2 linked regions of the Drosophila melanogaster genome follow. The gene in region 1 interacts genetically with each later gene. Each region holds a gene or a part of one and is shown on either strand. Other genes may lie near its edges.

The links.
Region 2: of Scm (region 1) and Marcal1, changing one suppresses a phenotype caused by changing the other (phenotypic suppression), as found in Drosophila melanogaster (one study listed by BioGRID).

The regions. Positions count from the first base shown.
Region 1 is NT_033777.3:9,632,684-9,639,732, reverse strand, and holds Scm (Sex comb on midleg), read left to right. Parts: upstream 1-2,121; 5' UTR 2,122-2,577; coding exon 2,578-3,123; intron 3,124-3,181; coding exon 3,182-4,099; intron 4,100-4,164; coding exon 4,165-5,196; intron 5,197-5,257; coding exon 5,258-5,395; 3' UTR 5,396-6,374; downstream 6,375-7,049. Other genes in the region: SpdS (spermidine synthase), read right to left, coding at 6,627-7,049. UniProt on the Drosophila melanogaster protein: Polycomb group (PcG) protein. PcG proteins act by forming multiprotein complexes, which are required to maintain the transcriptionally repressive state of homeotic genes throughout development.
Region 2 is NT_033779.5:4,953,440-4,958,951, forward strand, and holds Marcal1 (Marcal1), read left to right. Parts: upstream 1-2,069; 5' UTR 2,070-2,143; coding exon 2,144-2,910; intron 2,911-2,968; coding exon 2,969-3,459; intron 3,460-3,518; coding exon 3,519-3,669; intron 3,670-3,738; coding exon 3,739-3,903; intron 3,904-3,968; coding exon 3,969-4,251; intron 4,252-4,312; coding exon 4,313-4,507; intron 4,508-4,568; coding exon 4,569-4,784; 3' UTR 4,785-4,853; downstream 4,854-5,512. Other genes in the region: Jon25Bi (jonah 25Bi), read right to left, coding at 884-1,684; CG34124 (uncharacterized protein), read left to right, coding at 5,039-5,133, 5,191-5,353, 5,412-5,512. UniProt on the Drosophila melanogaster protein: ATP-dependent annealing helicase that catalyzes the rewinding of the stably unwound DNA.

The sequences.
Region 1 (7,049 bases):
TTACCATTTATATCACATTGCTATCCACATTGTACACACAGCCAGATAAGCAATTTATAATTTGGGACCCCCCAAACTTTTCATGCCATCTACATCAACTAGTTTGGCTAGCCCACGCATCACTCAAAAAAAGCAACAGTGTTGCCAGCATTCGCAATTGTCCTGCGTCCTTGGGCGCGTTGATCACCCACTTTGACATACTTTTTAATTGCTTGGAACACGTGTCTTCGCCTTTTATGTATGCAGAATGTGCATGCGTCGGCTTGTAATTAAGCACGTAGGCAAACGCCTCCATTTCCTGCCCAGCAGGATGCTTTATGGCTGATTGAATTCCGTCAAAATGCCACTCCCGCCAATTTATACGTGCTTTTATGCGAGCTGTAATGCTGTTTTGGTAGTGCGAGGCAATTTTAATTTACTTTTAATTTTTAATAGAGCAACTAGTAAAGTCTAGCTACTTGCCTGATTACTTTTGCTTAGGGATTCAAGAAGGAAAGGATATCCATAAGGGTGTAAGATGCAACCTTGTACTTGGTTCTGTACACCCATTAATGAATATGCTTATTAAGTTCAATCCCCACTCCAGTGCCCACTCGGAGCCAGAAATTTCTTTTGTCCAATTTGCGTAACAAGTCAATGACTCAAGAACTCGTCTCTGGACACCCCTTTTTCTAATAGCCCATCAAGGATTTGACAGGCGACTAAACGGTAAACGGGCATTTAATGAGGAGCAGAAAAGGCAGCCGCCTCATTTCATCCAATTATCCTTGTTATGGGCAGCCGATGGTCCCATCCAATTATGCGCGATTTGACGATTGTGTGAGTGTCAGGGAACTTGGTTTCGGTCAAGTTTAATCATTAATAATTAGGAATGTCTTTATTGATTATTAAAGAGGGACATCACGCCGCCTTCAAAACATTCAATTAACAGTGTTATCAAGTTTTTCGACCGCAATATTTGGCTTCCAGTTGGTTATCTTTGAAACGCGACTAAGTGAGCGGATTATTCTTTGAAGCACATCAATTAAATCAAGTTACGGACCATTTAGGCAAAGCGAACAAAAATCAAACAGCAGCAGAAGTTAGCCAAAAAGTTTGACCAATATACATTTCGGCTAATCCCAGAAAAGTTTTTCCAACTTGTTTCATCTTTGAGCCGCTTTCGACTTACTGAATTTACTGCAAACGAAACACACTTATGTAATTTCTAGTAATTTGCTAGACTTCTTGACATTTGCGACGCTCTTCAGCAAATAAAATTAACGAAAGGTAAGCAAGTAATATTAATTTGCTTGACCTAATAAAGCCTTAGGCCAATCGTATAAGCCATTATTTTGATAGTAACATATTTTTGTATTTCAGTATTGATTGTTTCATGGTTTTGGTAATTACGAAAACCGCTTTCCTATGTTATACATGATTTTATTAAAATATCAAAACTTTCCCTTGTTCAACCCATTTTCCACTATCTGAACCGCTTTATTGCGAATTTCTCCCAGTTCAATGGAAATGTTTACATACCAGAGCGTTCTATAAATTGGTAGATATTAGTTTTGTTGACTAACCCATTTTTTTTTTTTTGATTTTCGGCTGATGTGTGCCGTGCGCTTTCAAATTTACAGACTTTTTATATTATTCACCAATTTACGCCCACTTGATGCTGTGCAAATTTGATTCACGAGCGTTTTGTTAGTTTTACTGGGAAATACTATGAGCTGATATTAAAACGTAGGAATTCGGTTATAAGTTTATATTCTCAAAACCAAAACGGTTCAGTTTACTAGACTAAATAGTTTTTACATTACGCTGTACAATTTTTGACAGGAAATCCAAATTTCTTTTCTATAATAAGGGCTTACGTTTTTAAAAATGACAAATATTTATTTATATTAGCAGTTAAATTAAATACAACATTGTGGTAAAAGTATTGAGCATTATCTACTTTGCTCTTTAAATTGACTATTTATTGTCAGTTATGTGATTTCCCATTTAACGTTATTTTAAAATTGCATTTAGTTGCTTCGATAACATTTTTCGATTAGTCACATTAGTTGATTATTTTCATCGCTTCGTGAGCTGTCACAGGTAAGCAACTATCGATATGCGCAAAGATCTGAATGTCACCACTAGAAAAACAAATATGGCGGAACCGAGCGTAAAAGTAAAAAAAGTCTAACATTTTGGAGTTTAAGCGACTCAAAATCATCTAATTTCGGATTGAAACCGAGTAACAAGATCCGCGCAGCGCTCTAAATATAAAGCTCGATATTTGGTGAACCAGAAACTAATTGTGCGGCTCGCGTTTGTTTTCGTTGGGTGATGCGATGCGATTTGGCCACCAATTTGTTATTACGTGACCTCAAGAACGCCGCAAAATTTCGCCAGGCCAAATCGAAAGAAATCGGAAAGTTAGTGCTGCAAAACAAAACTTGCTATTGGTGGCTAATGATTCAAGGCAGCCGCAATGCGATTTGACCGCCGGATCGGAACACACGAAATCGAAATCGCCTGAGATGCCAAGGGGCTTGCCGGCGCGAATCAGCAAGTGCGACTACTAGGACAGCCACGCGAGAAACCATGTCGGGCGGACGTGATAGCAGTACCAGTAGCGGGAGCAATTCTGCTGCGCCAGGGGCCAGTACGAATGCCACCTCCTCCGCATCCGCATCCGCCTCCTCCACATCCACATCCGCATCCCCTGGAAGTACAACATCGCCCGCGTCCACGCAACGGCAACGAGGTAGACCGGCCAAACGAGCCACATGCACCTGGTGCGGCGAGGGCAAGCTACCGCTGCAGTACGTCCTGCCCACGCAGACCGGCAAGAAGGAGTTCTGCTCGGAAACATGCATTGCCGAGTTCCGCAAGGCGTACAGCAAGGGGGCGTGCACCCAGTGCGACAACGTCATCCGCGATGGGGCGCCCAACAAGGAGTTCTGCTCGATCATGTGCATGAACAAGCACCAGAAGAAGAACTGCTCGACCAGGCACAGCGGCGGATCGGCATCGGGCAAGGGTCTGGCGGAAAGCGAGCGCAAGTTGCTGGCCAGTGGAGCGCCCGCACCAACGGGGCCCTTTCAATACGAGAGCTTCCACGTCTTCGACTGGGATGCCTATCTAGAGGTAAGTCAAGCTGGGATAATGCTTTAACCCCCAATCTCATACTTTTTGTGGTTTCCAGGAAACGGGTAGCGAAGCTGCTCCTGCAAAATGTTTCAAACAGGCTCAGAATCCTCCCAACAATGATTTTAAAATCGGAATGAAGCTGGAGGCTTTGGATCCGCGCAACGTCACTTCCACCTGCATTGCCACCGTGGTCGGAGTGCTTGGCTCCAGACTGCGGCTACGCCTGGATGGAAGTGACTCCCAGAATGACTTTTGGCGGCTGGTCGATTCTACGGAGATCCATGCTATTGGACACTGTGAAAAGAACGGTGGCATGCTGCAGCCGCCTCTGGGATTCCGCATGAACGCATCCAGCTGGCCCGGCTATCTGTGCAAGATCCTCAACAATGCCATGGTGGCGCCAGAAGAGATCTTCCAGCCAGAGCCGCCAGAGCCAGAAGAAAACCTGTTCAAGGTGGGCCAGAAACTCGAGGCTGTCGACAAGAAGAACCCGCAGCTCATCTGCTGTGCAACAGTAGATGCAATCAAGGATGATCAGATCCATGTAACATTCGATGGTTGGCGAGGGGCATTCGACTACTGGTGCAATTACCGATCGCGTGACATTTTTCCCGCCGGCTGGTGCGCTAGAAGTTGTCATCCCATGCAGCCACCGGGCCATAAATCGCGCATGGACTCCAGCTCTAGCAAACAGCGATGCCCTCGACCCCGCTACACTGTTGTAGCTGAGTCCGAGGCTATGGTTCCCGCTTCCCCTGCCACAGCCCACTTCCATCCGAACTGCAAGGGCGGTCCGTTCATCAACAATTCCAAACTGCCCTGCATGGTGACGGGACCCACCTACCAAACGCTGGCCAAGCTTTGCCTGCAGGAGGTTTTAGCTGCCAGCACGGATACGCAACAGCTCTCAAAGTTGCTGTTTGCCCTGGAAGGAGATGTTCATATCGTGACGGCAGCGGGGAAAAATTTCACAGTGAGTTCAAGATCAATTAAATTCAATGAAAAGCATGTTTAAAATATACTCTTCGTTTCTTAAAGGTAAAAATACCATCGCCAATGCGAATGAAGGATGACGAAAGCCTCGCCCAATTCATCGAAACGCTGTGCACTACATGCCGGGCATGTGCGAATCTCATTTCCTTGGTCCACGAGACGGAGGAGTGCAAGAAGTGCGCCAATAGTCGGAAGCGTCAACTGACTCAGTCAGCCACACCGCCTTCCTCGCCAGTGCTCGCCGACAAGCGAAACCGTCAATCCAACTCGGCAACGACATCACCCTCTGAGAAGATTATCAAGCAGGAATTGGCTGTCAAATCGCCAGTGGAGTCCAAGTCGAAAACTTCGACGAACAATGGCAAGGAGCCTGCAAGCCAGCAAAACAGCAATCACAGTCTCAACAATAACAACAACAGTGCCAGCAAGTCCAGCAACAAGGTGGTCATCAAATCGGAGCCCAACGGAGCGAACGCGCAGACTTCCTCCACAACGCAGGCTCTGCGCAAAGTACGCTTCCAACACCACGCAAACACGAATACGAATAGCTCTGCGACAAACGGAAACCAGGATACGAGCCAGACCACGCACGTATCTACCAGCCATTGCAGCAGCTCGTCAACGTCGTCCAGCACGAGCCTAGCCGGAGGATCGGCGAACACCAGCACAATTGGCAAATACCTGGCACCTCTTGTGGCAGAAGTTCATCCAGAGCAGGCCAATGTAAAGCCCTCGAATAGCTACTACAAGAGTCCGACGACGCTCTCGTCAAGCGCCTCGTTGCCGACATCCGTGTCCACGCCGTTCACGGGCTGCCAGTCAGCCTCGTCCACTGCACTGGCTGCAGGTGGAGTTACAGCGGCTAAGGCGGCCACCGCGCCGGCTGGAGCAGCGGCAACTGCGGGAGCTTCTCCGAGCTACACCGCGATTACCTCACCCGTGAGCACGCCCACTTCTGCTTTGGCAAACTCACATCTGCGGTCGCAGCCGATCGACTGGACCATCGAAGAGGTGATCCAGTACATCGAGAGCAACGACAACTCCCTTGCAGTTCATGGTGATCTCTTCCGAAAGCACGTAAGTAGTAGCTATTACCAATTACCTTAAATAAAGTAACTTATCTAATTTTCGTCTGTAGGAAATCGATGGTAAAGCTTTATTATTGCTAAATTCAGAGATGATGATGAAGTACATGGGCCTGAAGCTAGGACCAGCCTTAAAAATCTGCAATTTAGTCAATAAGGTCAATGGTCGTCGAAATAATCTGGCACTCTAAACAGAAAAACATTAAGTTTCAGGCAGCGGACTCGGTTCGGGTTTGACTTATATAGAAATTGTTAACAAATTAGTACCTCCCTTTAACGTAAAGCAAAGCAAACATGAACGATATTCATAGATGTGTTATGTGTTGGCCATTCATGAAGAAAAAACCCCTACCCTATTTTATTATATTGATAATATAAAACACGCTATAACAAATGTAATCGCGAAGACATGAAATTCCCTATACAAAATCAATCGCATAACAAATTATACACAGTCAAGCTCCGGTTTTCAAAACCATTATTATTAATTTTTTTCCAACTGCTCGTGATTCTTTTTTTGGAATACACATTTACAAATTGATTTATTTAGACAAAATTATTATACTTGAATTAGGAATTTTTATAGGTTTATTCAAATTTACCCAGTCAAAGGAGTGGAGTATTCGTACACACACAATAATTAGTTTATCCATCTATTTCGAAAAATGTGAAATAGTTCTCAATTGGACACAAAATGATTCGACTTTTTCGAAAACTGGAGCTCGGCTACCAAAATCGCAATGCACATACATTATATTTATTACACATAAAAACACGCACATTAGACACCAAAATCTATCCGACACAAAAGAAATGATAATTAACTTTAGAATAGGCGAGAAAATAAAAACCAATATTAAATGATTGTACATATTTTACATCTAATTTTGTAATTATGTATCAATTGCGTTTCCTAACTATAACAATATTTAATTAGTCATTAAACAGGTTGAAGATTTAATTTCTATTAAGTTATTGAAATTGAATATCAGTTTTTAGTTAATTATTCACATGCAGTTAAGGTCATTTTTGCATATAAGAAACGCTTCCTTTCAAAGTTTTGCAATATATGCGATATATAAATGAGAGTAACATTCGGTCGTGTAAAATATTGCAATAAGTCTCATTATGTTAACCCAGCATCCACTTACAAATACAAAAATTAAATAGAGCCAACTGTATATATCATTACGTAATAAACATTACAATTTGTTCTATTTTCAACAGTAAAATAACTGAAAGATGGTAGTCGGATTGGAAGGAAAATACTCAGGCTACAAAAATTCGACTAAAAATGAATCATTGCAAGAGTCAGCATTTGTTGAAAATATCCAAGAATTTAAGAAGCGATGATAAACAAGTCATATTATTATCATATTTATTTTTAACAAACAGATACACACGAATCTTTCCGCAACCTGGTCATTCGTAAAAGTGCTTCTGCACCCATCGAGGCAAGGCAAAGGCGGCGGAGTGAACCTCGGAGGAGTAGTACCTTAGGTCTATAGAATCGATTTCGGACTTTCCAAGCTTGGGAGTAGCGAAGTCCTGGTTTTTGTTCAGGGAGCCCATGACGAAGCCAATGTGGCCGCAGGGATAGGACGGAACGGAGGTGACGGCATAGGCCACCTTAGCAAAGTGCTCCTTGCAGCCGGACATGGTCTTCTTGATGTAGTCCAGGTCCAGCCAGAAGCTACCGCCCTGGGAGCACACGATTCCGTCATCCTTCAGCGCGTGTTTCATTAGCTCGTAGTAGCTTTCCTGAAACAGGCTCACTGCCGGACCAATGGGATCCGAGCTGTCGGTGATGATGACATCAAATTCGTTCTTGTGTTTCTTCATATA
Region 2 (5,512 bases), on another chromosome or scaffold:
AGCTGATCTTAAGATAGGTGCCAATAAGCCCCCATTCATGCCCAGAGCCACAACTCAATGGAACACTCGAACAGGAGCGCACAGAGATTAGGGCACACGTCCTGTGGTCATTCAAAAGTAGTATTACAGTATAATTCGCTTAGCTGCATCGATAGTTAGCTGCATCGGCAAGATATCTGCATTATTTTTCCATTTTTTTGTGTGAATAGAAAATAGAAAATAGAAAAAAAAAAATTAAGTTAGCTGCATTTTTAAGTTACCTGCATCGAGGCATTGTGCAAAGTACTCGAGGCAGCTAAGCGAATTATACTGTACTTAACGTTCGTAAGTGCGCTACATTGTTTAGGTTTTAATATTAAACGCACTCCCATTAAAGTTATTAAAATTAAAATTTAAAACAATAAACTAAACATTTACAAGTAAAAAGTGAAATATTTTAAAGACGAAAGTTGTATTATTTTTTAGAAATATATTTCATATATTTAATAAATATATCACTTCGCTTTTGTGATTTGTCAGTATAATAATCCTTTGGAATATATAATCTTTTGGTAAATATATATATTATTTCATTATCTGATTATTGACTAGTATAGACCACAGTTGCTAGTATTCCTACTTATGTCTATCATGGCTACATATATAGTGTTTAATCATGTTTTCCAGATAACAAGTGTTCGATTGCCAAGAAACCATCCCATTTCTTAGCCATTCATGGCTTCTTATCTATAAGACGTTTATTATAGATTCGGATTCTGCATGACTAGACTTTTGAAACTTAAAAATATCCATGTGATTTTTTAAATGTAATAAAACCAGAAACATAAAGGCGTCAAATTAATTGTTATGCATTTCGTTTATTTAAAAATAAAGATAATCAAGCTTAGTAGTAAGCAACGCCGGAGTTGTCGCGGATCCAGTCCAGCTGGTTGGTAACACGGGTGAATCCGGAGGGCAGGCCAGCGGTGCAACCGTTGCCGGAAACCCAGGAGGTGACACCCACCAGGCGGCCACCGTCGTGGAGAACCAGGGGGCCACCGGAGTCACCGGAGCAGGTGGACTTTCCGCCGGAGGTGGACACACAGAGGATGCCATCGGGCTGGGTGCCGTAGGTGCGGGAGCATTCCGAGTTGCTAATGATCTGCAGGTCGACGCACTCCATCCAATCGGGCTGGGATCCGGCGGTGGTCAGTCCCCAACCGCAGGCGACGGCCCAATAGTTGTCGTACATGTTGTAGCGATCGTTGAAGCTGGGCAGCTCCACCTTGTTAACCATGTGCCAGAAGTCCACGTGGGGGGTGCGGATCAAGGCGATGTCGTTGCCGTTCTGGTTGGGCCAGTTGTGGTTCTGGATGAAGTCGCCGCTGCCGACGGTGTGGGTGAACTGGGCGTTGGTGCGCCAGGTGGCTCCGTAGTAGATGGTCACCTGGGAGGCGCCGTTGGTGCAGTGAGCAGCAGTCAGGACCCAATCGTGGGCGATGATAGAACCACCGCACCACCAGCCGCCGTTGCCGCTGAAGCCCAGACCCACGGTGTAGGGAGCCTTGCCCTCGTAGGCTGGATATCCGTTCACAATGCGGCCATTGATCTTGGTGTCCTTGGGCAGGTCCTTGGGATGAACCTGCTGGACAGTCTCGGCGGAGACAGCGGCCAAAGCCAGAGCCAGTACAACGAACACTTTCATGGTGATTGGATCAATCGTGGTCTGCGCCAGACTTCCATCCGTTTTTATTGCGCCCCTTATCGCTGTCTGGAGTAGCCCCCACTCGGCGTTATCCTATCTCTAAGAAATTCGCCCTCTGATACCAATGGAAATTAATTGATAGCACGTCTAAGAACATCTTGATAGGCAAAAAAAATAATAACTCGCTTTTAGGAAAAATTCTAAGCTGATTATCTTCGCTTACAACCGACGTAGGCAATATAAGAAAACAGAAATGATTTTAATTTAATTTAAGGACTAAATAATTTATACATAATATATACATAATAATGTATACATAGAGTATGTAAAATGTAAAAATAATTTAAAATAGGCGCCCAATGTAAGATGTAAGGATTGAAAAATGGCTCACCTGGTCACACAGAGCCATGCATTTATTGTTTATATATTCCGCCAAATTTTATCAATTGATGTCGCAGCATGTCCACTTGCAGTTCATCCGAGATAGCGGAGAAGAAGCGCATTGCGCTGGCCAAATTGCAGGCCAAGAAATCCCAGCTGCTGGCCAGCGCACCCGCAACCAATGGAAAATCAACAACGTCTGCAACAGGTGCGACGCAACATGCGAATAATGGAAAATCAAATCCCAATCAACCGCAGGCCAAATCCCCATTGAATTTCTACCGATCACCGACGGGGGAGCAGAAGAAGATCAACAGGAGCGGTCCCACGCCCGGTGACAACAAGAGCTCATCCTTTCTGAACGCTCTGAAAGCAATCAAACAGACATCCAACCGGGAATTGTCCCGCGGAGCAGCACATCCTTACCAGCGGCCAAATGGAGGGAACGAAAGAAACAAGCCCACTCTTTCACTGAGTTCGGATAAGGAGAAACCGGTGGCTGTGCTACTCGGAAACTCCATCACGTGTAATCTCTACTTGATCAGCACACATCGGTTTGCTGCCCAAACCTCAGGATATCACGAACAGCTCGTGACCGTGTTCAAGAACATGCCCACCAAGTGCTACGATGGCCAAACCCGTATCTGGAGTTTCGATCTGTCGGACTACCAATCCCTGAAAACTCATGCAGCGGATCTAAAGCCATATGTTCACATGAATGGCATTCCGAAGAAGGTGCTGGATCTCTGCGGCCAGCCGCCAGTAGTTCCGGAAAGAAGTGTTTTAGCTTCCATAGAACCGAAGCTGGCGGACCAGCTAATGCCCTTCCAACAGGATGGGGTATGGTAAGCATTGCTTGTATGCTATGTACTTCCAAAAGCGCTAAATTTATCATATGTTTAGCTTTGCCATAGCCCAAAAGGGACGCATTATGATCTGTGATGAAATGGGCCTGGGCAAAACCTATCAGGCCTTGGCCGTAGCCGACTATTTCAAGGATGATTGGCCCTTGCTTGTCTGCACCACCGCTTCTACGAGAGACAGTTGGGCGAAACACATAATGGATCTACTGCCGAAGGTGCCCATCCACTATGTCCAGGTGCTGAACAACAATCAGCTATATGTGGGTGAGGCCAAGGTGCTAATCACCAGCTACAATATGATGGAGCGACACGAAGATAAGCTGATGCAGCGGAAGTTTGGTTTCATCATCTTCGACGAGTCGCACACGCTGAAGAACAGCAAGGCCAAGTGCACGACAACGGCCAAAAGACTCACGGATCAGGCGAAGCGGGTGGTTTTGCTATCCGGCACACCGGCTCTCTCCCGGCCATTGGAACTTTTTACGCAACTGCAAATGATTGATGGCAAATTCATGAATTTCATGGAGTTCAGTATGTCAAGAATGTCTGTTTACCTTAGAACGCGCTTATATCGATTAACACATTCACAGCTACTCGTTATTGTGATGGAAAGCAGTCAACTTTTGGTTGGGATGCCAATGGTCAATCGAATTTGGAGGAACTGAAGGTCATACTTCACCTTAAATATATGCTGAGGCGAACGAAAGTGGAGGTGCTGCCTCAACTCGCTGAGAAGAACCGGTGGGTTGTTCACATTGTTGTATATCTATAATATATTTTCTAACATTTCGAACATTCTTCCATCCGCAGTGAGACTGTCGTCCTGGATCCCGCCCTAGTGTGGACCAATGCGGAGACCAAGGAAACCTTGGATGCGTTTAACAAAGAGCTTAAAACCGCTAAAGGCAGGGCAACGGAAGAGATCTTACTCCGTTTCTATGCACGCACTGCCGAAGTGAAAACTCGAGCGGTCTGGTAATAAAAAAAATCATTAAAACCATATAAACCATCTGAAGTTAATGTATTATCCTGCATTATAGCGCCTACCTAAAAACCTTAGTTAAGGAGCAGAAAAAGTTCATTATCTTTGCCCACCATCGTGTCATGATGGACGCCATTAGCGACTTCCTCAGTGGATTGAAAGTACACTACATACGTATTGATGGACAAACGCGTAGCGATCACAGGTCGGATTCTGTGGACACGTTCCAAAAGAAGAGCAGTTGTAAGGTGGCCCTGCTCTCCCTAAAAGCCTGCAATTCAGGAATAACGCTAACTGCAGCTGAGATCATAGTGTTCGCTGAACTGGACTGGAATCCTAGCGTAAGCTTCGCTTATATGTTAACTTGGAGAACGCTTAAATTTAGTTTTATTTTATGTGCAGACTCTTGCCCAGGCGGAGAGCCGTGCCCATCGCATTGGTCAGACAAAACCGGTGATTTGTCGCTATCTGATTGCTCACAATACGGCAGACGATATAATCTGGAACATGCTGAAAAATAAGCAAGAGGTGCTTAGTAAAGTGGGCATCTTTGCCGAAAATCTTCAGAAAGCAACACACACAGCAGCACCCACTTCAGTAAGATACATTTTGAATACTTTGAAAAATGTATTTTTCGCTAACTCAACTTTTTTTTTAGTCCCACAAGATCGAGGAGTACTTCTCGCCCTCCACGTCCACCTCCCTTGAACCGGAAAGGAATAGCATAAAACAATATTTTTCAACTATTCCAGCTAAAGAGCCGCCTGAGCAAAATAATAATACAGAAATGACCAAAGTAAACAAGGCTGAGTCGGATATCGCGGCGTTCTTTAACGATGATGATGATGAGGCTTTTTTGGAATTAGATATTTAGATTGTGTAATGGAATTTAATCCTAGAATGTTTATTGAGTTAATCGTAATAAATTGTATTTGAGAATGTTATAGCATTGAATGAAACTTGTTGAACGCACTTCTGCGCATGCTCCACGTTTGCAGAACTCTTTTCAGATAGCCGGTTTCATGTGACCTGGCAACAGGCAAACAAACACTCAAGTAAACCTTTTCACTTGTATCAAATAAATAAATACACAGCAAGTTAAGTTTTGTACAATAATAGCTAAATAATATGGATACTACGCAGGAATCTGATCTGCTGGGCGAAGAGGAGGAGTTGGAGAATGAGAACGACGTATCCTTTCCGCGTGATATCGTCAGTGTAGAGTGAGTACGGAATTGGAAGTTGATAACTTTTTCTTGATTGGAAAACTTCTGCTGCAGACACTCCTTTGGTTACGATTGTAAGAAGCTGTTTAATTTGGTCCTTGTGGATTCAGACACGCTGGTTTTTGCCTCTGGAAACTTCCTCAACTACTTTAGCATTTCGCGCCAGGAGATTTCCTTTCAGGAAACGGTCTACGGCTGCGGAGTGGGCTTTATAACGGTGAGCTTTTTAGTACCTTTGAGTACCTTTGTATGATCTAATGGTACTCCATTGCCAGAAAAACGAGCATCCTGACTACACCAACCTCTTTACGGTGGGCGAGAACGGAGCTCGTCCCACTGTCTTTATCTACGAGTATCCATCGCTTAATGTCCGTGT